Linked DNA regions of Arabidopsis thaliana. The protein of the gene in region 2 interacts with the protein of the main gene of each other region in a pairwise test. Each region holds a gene or a part of one and is shown on either strand. Other genes may lie near its edges.

Region 1 (3,480 bases), on a different chromosome or scaffold from region 2:
GAAGTGCTAACTTTGCGTAATAATCAATAATCTATCCACCTGAAAAGTCCTGAAACATTGCTTGTCAAGGACCAGTCCACAAGACCGGCACAGCTTCCAATAAAAAATGGCAAAGAAACCCATGATGGATTGCAGATTCCCACTGCCAATTGAACTGCTGGTAACAACAAGCAGGAGGCAACCCTAAGATGACTTCCTGAGTAATAAAGGAGGAGATAACGTCAAACCAAGACCAGATGAACACATGATGAGAAAACGTTACAGTAAGTATTTGGACAAGCCGTATGGGCCTAGTACATTAATTACAAACCTAGGTGTTCGAAAATTCCTGAGAAGTGAGACCACCATGTGTCCCGCCATCTAGCGAAGCCGAATCTACTACTGTATATGTCAGCTAAAGCAACCAATGATGTTAGTAGTTGTAAAGCCAGGAAATACATAACGGTGGGGTTTCTCCAAGACTTTAATCTGCAGAAGCAAAGACGAGAGTATCAACTAACAAGTAAATATTTGTAAGGCAGGAAGATGAATGAAATGATGAGAGTACTCTTACATCATAAAGCCAATAACTCTCATCCAGCCAGTATCTGGTGTATCCCAGTCTTGACCTAGAGCAGCCCAAATGACAAGGTAGACCACTTGAGCAAGAAATACTGCAAAGGAAAAGATGAAAATGGGCCATAATAGCCAATGCCTCCTCTGAAAACGGTATCCTGGCAAAATAAAGCAAGAACCAAAGTAAGTTTGAGAAAGTAAACATCAGCTAATCAACCGTAACTGAAAAAAGCGACGAAAACTGAGAATAATAGACTCTCTTTTTTTTTTTTCTGTTTCTCCAGGCTAATGTAGATGTTGGGCATAAACTAGATGAATCCTTTCACACCTAAACCCCAAATCAAAGATTCCAAGAAACATGTACTACAGCAGAAACATTGGGGTATTTCTTTTGATTAGAGGGAAAACAGGCTTACCAATTTCAGGTGCAATATAGTGAACGAGGAGGAAAGCTATCAAATCAAGAAAGGATATGACACTCCAGTTAATAAGTGCAGCTGTGAGAGAAGAGAAAAATATATTAGGAAAATAGAAGCTCAAGCGAAAAAAGTACAAGCTACGGTGTGGTAGAGAATGGAGATAGCAATAACAAGAGATATGATACCAATGTTTTGACATAAAAACACCAGGGTCGTTTAAACTAGTAAAACTTAATAAAGGAACCTTAATAGAGTAGGTACAATGTTAAGGAGTAAATGAGTGAAGCTCAAGATATCCCATGAGACAAAGAGGAGGACTCTGTTGATTGAAGAGGACTAGCAAAGTAAGGATTTTTTTATTATTATTATTGCAAGCAAGAAGATAGAGAAAGAAACCAACCTGCCAGAAGAAGCGAAGGCAACAAGAAGCCCACCAAAAAACTCGCCATTGGAAACTTTTGTCTTAACGATCACCATATCCCAATTCTCATCGAATTCAATAGATCCCCTCTCTAGCTCCGACCTCAATTTCTTCCAAAAGGCCAACGAAATCAGCCCGCCGGAGACTAAAACGGAGGATAAAAATTTCCAATTCTCACGAATTCTAGCAAGTTCCCGAAAAGGTAGCTGTTGAAGATGTGTGTGAATTTGAAGGTGGATTGCAAATTTGAGAGAATTGGAAACTGGAAATCCAAATCCACAAGCAAAAATCAAAGAAAGATCTTTTCTTCTCGCAATAATCATCATTTTAATAAATTATATTTAGCGCCGAGAAATGGCTAAACCAATCAAACCGTCGTGGGCTCGAGATTCAATTATTGATTGCTGGCTTTTAATTTGGAATACCGGAGTTCGGTTGAGAATTGGACCGGTTCAATAAAGCCAACAAGTTTCTTCTTCCTTATCGCGATTATTGGAGGAGAGAATGAGTTGGTCTCTCTGCAGCACCCATGGGGTCTCCTCTTCCATAGCTCTCACTTATGGCTTTCGCCATAGAAGAAGATCCACCTTCCGTATTTTCGCCACCTCTGACGGATTAGAACCCAAGGACGACCCGCCGGAATCTCCTCTCCCTTCCTCATCCTCTGCTCTCGGTAAAGACTTGAAAAAGGTCCGCCTTTTTTCTATATCATTTACGATTTTTCTGTTGAAACCATAGGAAGACATGAAAATGAAAATGCACCATGTTAGATTGGTCTCTAGTGCTTGAACCTGTTGAAAGAGTTGCTCAAGCTTATGACTTTTCAATTCAAGCAGGTTGTTAACAAGACTGCTGCAACCTTTGCCCCTAGAGCTTCCACCGCCAGTAAAAACCCTGCTCTCCCTGGAACTACTCTTTACAAAGTTTTTGAGGTTCAAGGCTATGCATCGATGTTCCTCGGAGGTGTCCTTTCTTTCAACCTCCTCTTTCCCTCCAGCGAACCTGATTTATGGAGGTTGATGGGCATGTGGTCCATTTGGATGTTCAGTATGTCTCCTTCTCTACTTTCTTCTAACTTTATTTATTCCAAGGCTGCATTTTTGCCCCTAATCCTTTACTTTCTTTCCAGCTATTCCTTCTCTTCGGGCACGAGACTGTCCAAGTAAAGAGAAAGAGGCTCTTAACTACCTCTTTCTCATCGTCCCCTTGCTCAATGTTGCTATTCCCTTCTTTTGGAAATCATTTGCTCTTGTCTGGTCTGCTGACACGGTTGCCTTCTTTGCTATGTATGCCTGGAAGGTATGTCGAATGGTAATTATTGAGGGGCGCTTATATAGTTATATGTGCTTGCTCAGATTATTTTTTTCACTTTTTGCCTCTTACTTCAGCTTGGATGGCTGGAAAGAACAGAGTAGGGACTACTCGTGAATCATGATGGGATTAGAGCATGAAGATTCTTTGTCTTTTCTTCCTTAGAATGGTACTTCATTCAGCTTATCGTGTTAGGTACGTGGGTTTAAGGCAAATGAATGTGAACATTGCTCTAGAATGATATATGAACTAGCCCCTTAAGGAATATTTCTTGTAAATCTTAAAGTTCTGAGATGAATTATTGTTCAAAATACAAGTGGGAGTACATATACGTTTTGTTATCAAGAATGCAGCTGGTAAATTTAAACAAAGTAAAAGAATTGAGTATATAGATAATTCTTGCATCCCAGTGTCTGTTGGTTCTTCTATTCGACAGAGAAAGCGAGAGAAGAAGGAGGCTCATGTGTTTAGTTCTAGGCTAAGCCTTTCCTCATCTTCTCGAGTGTACTTTCGATAAAAGCATCTGATTTCTTATTTATATCATTTAGTAGGGGCCCCAGGCGTCTATGAGGCTGTGGTGGTTTCCCTGCTTCAGGCTGAGTGATTTGTTGCTTAGGGCTGGGCTCACCCAGCATGCTCTTTTCCCCGTTCTCCTGTAACCTCTTCTTTGGGCCGTTACTACCATTAACTAGTGTAATCATTGTCTCTCTCTCTGATTCTGGACTTGACGAGGCAGGGGAATTGTTATCCTCCGAGTCTTCTAATTGCTTGAAA
Region 2 (5,113 bases):
TTGGCATCATCGTGAAAGAAAATATGTTCATGAAAGAAGTCCTATCCGAGCATATGAAAACTACAAAGAAAGAAATGGGTGTGATTGGCTAAGAGAACCTTATTATGAGGACTGTATACCGATTACTGACATGGATTATAGGTACCGGTCAGAGAACTCGTCTGCACATGCAATACACAACCTCAAGCACAGTCCAGAGAATGATCTTTATTGCAGAAGAAGGGGTGGATACGATTATAATTTGCATCGTGATAGATATGAAGATGGAGTTCACAGGGTAGAAAGTAGAATTCCATTTGAGCTGGCGTACAGGGAGATGCGTTCTTTTGCTGAAGTGGAAATGAGAGAATATCAAGGGTATAAAAGACATGAGGAATTCTCTGAAATAGAGAAAAGACATCATTACATTCATGATTGGCATCTTGATAGATTTGTCTCAGAGGAAGATGGTTATAAGTATAGAATCCAAGATGGTTGGTCCTCACCGTCTTTATCTTTGAGAGATTCTTGGTATACCAAAGAAGCAAAAGGTGATTTCCGGAGAGATGATACCAGAGACTTCAGAACACCTGAAGCATATGACAGCCAGAATAACCATTTTCATAAGGCTGCACCGAGAGATGGCTGGACGCAGAATCTTGGTCGTAGCCATAATGTGAGCGTAAAAGATAGACTACAGTATGATGCTGATTGGGTTGGTCCTGATAGAGGAAGATATAATATGGCAGATGACATGCAATGTTCAATGAGAGAAGTTTCTAATTCTGAGCATCCATCATATACTGATGAGATATTTGTCCGCGACATAAGAGTACCGACACATAATCGGATGGCGACCAAACAAAGGTTTGGATATTTACAGAGCCATATTCATGAAAATGATGAAAGACATCACAGATCCAAGAAGCTGAGAGGAGATGGGCATGCTTTCATCAAGCGTCAGGATCATGTTGACTTAGCTGGTAGGCAAGGAAAGGTAAAGATTGGGAAACTAAATCTACATGCTTTTAAACCTATATTTGAATGAAGTATAAACGCCTTTCAGTTATTTATATCCCTGGATTTTCTTTGTGTTATTTCTGACTGTTTTATCACTTTATATGGTCTGTCTTCTATACTTAGGTTTTATGTTGCTCACATCCGTATATTTAGACATCAGTTAGTGTACAATGAAGAACAAGACCCTTCTCATGTGATAGATATTTTGTGTGTGTGTTTCAGGTCTCTAACCAATCAAAAAAAAGATTCTCCAATGGCGGAGATACAATCGAGCAACAAGATGTTCAGAAACCAAGAAAGTTAATGGGCAAAAGCGAAGAGAAAGCTATGCAGAATCGAGATATAAATGACAAAGAAGAAGGCGAGATAATAGAAGAAGTGAAAGGTGTTGAAATAGACAATGAACGTATACAAGAGAGTCTGAAAAAGATGGAGAAACGGAGGGAGAGGTTCAAGGGAACCAAATTGGCGGTAGAAGCGACATTCAAATCTCAAACTGAACTGAGAGCTAAAGCCGATGTTACTAATCAACAGAGGCCAGTTAGAAAGAGGAGATGGTGTGCAAGTTAAAAAGATCATATTGGATGGCTTGTTTCAGGTTAACACAATAACGGTTTATTGATGGTAGGCTATATCTAAACCGATCAATTAAAAAGTGGCTAAGAAAATCACAAAACCGAACAATTGACTGTGACCTGGGTTTTTTTAAGTGATCTTGCTTGTGCATTTTTTTTTTCCCTTTTGTAAGTGTTTACGTAGAAAATTTGACTTTTTTACCAATGCTTATTTATATTTACAGTTTAGTATGTGTAATGCAAAATCAAATGATGCAGCGAAGGATCAAACCAGTGACAATTAGGGCGGAAACCGTATGATTAACGTGATAACCACTAGACCATAGTAAAATTACTTTCTTTTGAATTTAGAATCATTTTCTTGGGTCAAATAGATAACCAGATAATTTCATGAGAAAACCAGACCGAACTATACGATTTTTCAAAAATGATCAACTTTTGTATTTTTGTTTGTGGAATAATATTCGTCGGATATTGGTGAGGTGGACTCGTAGCCGTCGGATAAACACGCGGCTGATCTGAAGCGTCTCTGCAAAAGAGAAAAGAGAGCAGAGAATTCAAACCAGTTTCCATCGACGCAACGACCAATCTCCACGATTCCTCTCTTCTCTCTAACTTCCAGGTACGTTTTTCGAGAACCCAATGAAGCAATCAAAGTCCTTGGAATTCATTTGATTTTACTTTCAGGTCTTTGGATTTCTATAGAAAGAAAGATCTGTTTATTATTTGATTGGAACATGATAAGCTGCTCCGTTTCTCATATCCACTTTTGTTCAATTTATTTCAATTTGATCGATAATTGGAAAAGTACTGGATCTGGTGTATCGGAAGTTACCGGTCAAGCTATGTATGAACCCTTGTGATATTTTCACATGCGTTTATTCATTCAAATATGCTAGATTTTTAATCTGGTCAATACGTGATATCAGGGTTTCTTCAGTTGGGTAACAACTTAATCTTATTGCAGTTTTGATTTTACCAACTTGAAATTGAATTATAGTCTTACAGATACGAATTTGGAGTTTTTGTGTAGTGTATACTTGTTTTCTGGATTGCTTGTCACTTACTGTTGATTTATGGTTTGCAGAGACAAGTTGTATCCCTCGTTTGCTTTCTGCGAAACTAAGGTGCAATGGCGAAGATAAAACCGCAGGCTCTTCTAAATCAAAGCAAGAAGAAGAAGGGTCCAAGTCGCATAAGTATTTCCACTATTATTGTCTGTAATCTTGTAGTTGCTGTAGTCATATTATCGTTGGTCACAACCTATCGCCATTGGTCCCAAAGGTTTGTTTTCATCTTTGAATTGTTCCTTTTTCATTACTTCTGTTATAGTAGATTCTCCTTTTACTTTATGTGATTATCTATAAACTAAAAAGGATATCATTGGTTATATCTCCTAGGTCAAGAAACACAATTGAACATGAAACTCGGAGTCAGAGATTTGAGGTATTTTCTTGAGAGATTTTTTAATGTATAGCTTTTGAGTTTTGATCCTGATGAACTTCCGAGCACTTAGGTTTAGAGTTTAGGGTATTTACCATATGTGATCTGGCTTTGGTTTCTGCTTCAGGACACTAATACTGCGTCAGGGCAAAAAACTTACGATCTTCCTGGTTTTGCTGTAAGTTAATCTCCCTGTTTGCTTGCTTAAGTTTCTTGTTTTAATCCTTGTTCTTATTTCTCATCATGGTATTATGTTCTGTTCATCAGTTTTTGAAGTAAAAAAAATGTGATGTGTCTTATCTGAATATTGATTTTAATGATATCTTGCTTCTATTTTCCTATCTCATGTAGGATATAAACACATCAAAAGGACTTATAACTGTCGAACTCTTCAAAGAAGGTTCCCCTGAAGTTGTGGACAAGTTTCTAGATCTATGGTTAGTATTGGAATTCGTTTGTTTTCCTTTAAGTTAGATAGAAAAAGAACAGTAGAGTAATTTGATTAAGCTAGGTCATGACTTGTTCTTAAATAGGAGTATTACTTCTAGCTTGATAGGATTCAAGTAGCTTTAGTTTCTTGATTGACTGATTTTGATCCTTAAGTCCTCTTGTACTCTTCTTGGAATTTTTGTTTGGAACATGAAACCTCATTAAAGAGAAATGGGCTGAATCAGTCTGTGACGATATTGTAGCTTAATATAATAGTAGAAGTTGAACATTGAGTATTGTTGCAGTCAAAAAGATCACTTCAAGGGAATGCCGTTTCAGCGGGTTATAAAGAACTACTTGGTACAAGCTGGTCACTCACCGAGCTCTATACCTGTAGAAGAATGGACAGCTAAAGGAAAGCTCAGAGGTCGCCTTCACATTGGGTATAACTTGCTTGCTCTGCTTTTGGCTTTTAAGTGTCAATGTTTATCATCTCTCGCTGGTTTTAAAAAATAAAAAACTACATATGTTCTGTTACAGCCCAAAACATGAGGCATTCATGTTGGGAACACCAAAAAACAAAGGGAACAACAAGGATTTTGAGCTTCTGATCACAACGGCCCCAATCCCGGATCTGAATGATCAACTTATAGTGTTTGGAAGAGTCCTTAAGGGAGAGGATGTAGTACAGGTTTGATCCAACTAAGCACAGTCTATCAGCTTGAATGGTTTGTTTAATAGTTTCATGTGTTAAAAGATTAAATCATATTATTACAGGAGATCGAAGAAGTGGATACGGATGAGCATTTCCAACCGAAATCGCCAATAGGGATCACTGGTGTTGTACTGAAACTAGAGACATGAAATGAAAATTTCTCTTCCTTGCTTCCTCTGTAAATGAGGCTCACGCCAAATCCTTCTTCATACTCGCTCTTTTGTATAAATCCTCTTTTGAGGTTTTTTCTTTCTTTCTATTTTACAGTTTCTTGTTGTTTTGTAATTTTATTTGATTTTTCTCGAGGAAATAGAATCTTTGTTTAATTATGCTTCTGATACTTGAGCAAATACATGAACTGATTTTAGAGAATTTTATCCTGTTATGATAGAAAAACTTCTGTATTATACCCGTTAAGTACCATAAAACTATTAGAGAAAAAGAGAGGTCTTTTAAAATTTATATGAGAAGATATGGAGAACAATCTGAAAAACCAGAAACAAATCCTTTAAGAATTCTTAAAAATCTCTACAAGATTTCTTTTAAAAACTCTAAAATAATTCTTAAACAATTCTTAAGGAATTCTTAAATTATTCATAGAATACAATTACAAAAATACTGTATTTTTGTTTTAGGTAATATTTAATAATTTGGAATAAGATATATAGGACATACATCAAATTATGTATTTTGATACTATTTTGACTAAAACTTAAAAATGTTAAAAACACATTTATAAATATGTTAATTAGTTGGTGTACTCTTATGTATTTTTTTCTAATTAAAGATAAATATCTAGAGTGTGTAGACAAAATCTATAATAATATAAGAGAAAAAAAAACAAATAACGCTTTAAAATTTCATATCGTAATCATTATCAATTTTGTAGAGTAGGAGATATTGTTATAATTCATTGTTTTTGAAAAGAGAAAATCTTCATAGTAATATTTGG

Evidence for each region.
Region 1: the proteins of AT3G66654 (region 2) and RPH1 interact in a protein complementation assay, tested with the Arabidopsis thaliana proteins (one large-scale study listed by BioGRID).

The regions. Positions count from the first base shown.
Region 1 is NC_003071.7:19,660,964-19,664,443, forward strand, and holds RPH1 (resistance to phytophthora 1), read left to right. Parts: upstream 1-1,853; 5' UTR 1,854-1,899; coding exon 1,900-2,085; intron 2,086-2,231; coding exon 2,232-2,442; intron 2,443-2,524; coding exon 2,525-2,706; intron 2,707-2,783; coding exon 2,784-2,810; 3' UTR 2,811-2,939; downstream 2,940-3,480. Other genes in the region: AT2G48060 (piezo-type mechanosensitive ion channel component), read right to left, coding at 40-196, 311-468, 554-713, 972-1,052, 1,375-1,423; AT2G48075 (uncharacterized protein), read right to left, coding at 3,180-3,480. UniProt on the Arabidopsis thaliana protein: Plays a positive role in the immune response to the oomycetes P.brassicae, including induced oxidative burst (e.g. H(2)O(2)) and enhanced expression of defense-related genes.
Region 2 is NC_003074.8:2,085,988-2,091,100, forward strand, and holds AT3G66654 (Cyclophilin-like peptidyl-prolyl cis-trans isomerase family protein), read left to right. Parts: upstream 1-1,928; 5' UTR 1,929-2,196; exon of another isoform or gene 2,197-2,661; 5' UTR 2,662-2,706; coding exon 2,707-2,858; intron 2,859-2,974; coding exon 2,975-3,020; intron 3,021-3,144; coding exon 3,145-3,195; intron 3,196-3,368; coding exon 3,369-3,454; intron 3,455-3,751; coding exon 3,752-3,889; intron 3,890-3,986; coding exon 3,987-4,137; intron 4,138-4,223; coding exon 4,224-4,310; 3' UTR 4,311-4,554; downstream 4,555-5,113. Other genes in the region: AT3G66652 (fip1 motif-containing protein), read left to right, coding at 1-976, 1,222-1,569. UniProt on the Arabidopsis thaliana protein: PPIases accelerate the folding of proteins. It catalyzes the cis-trans isomerization of proline imidic peptide bonds in oligopeptides.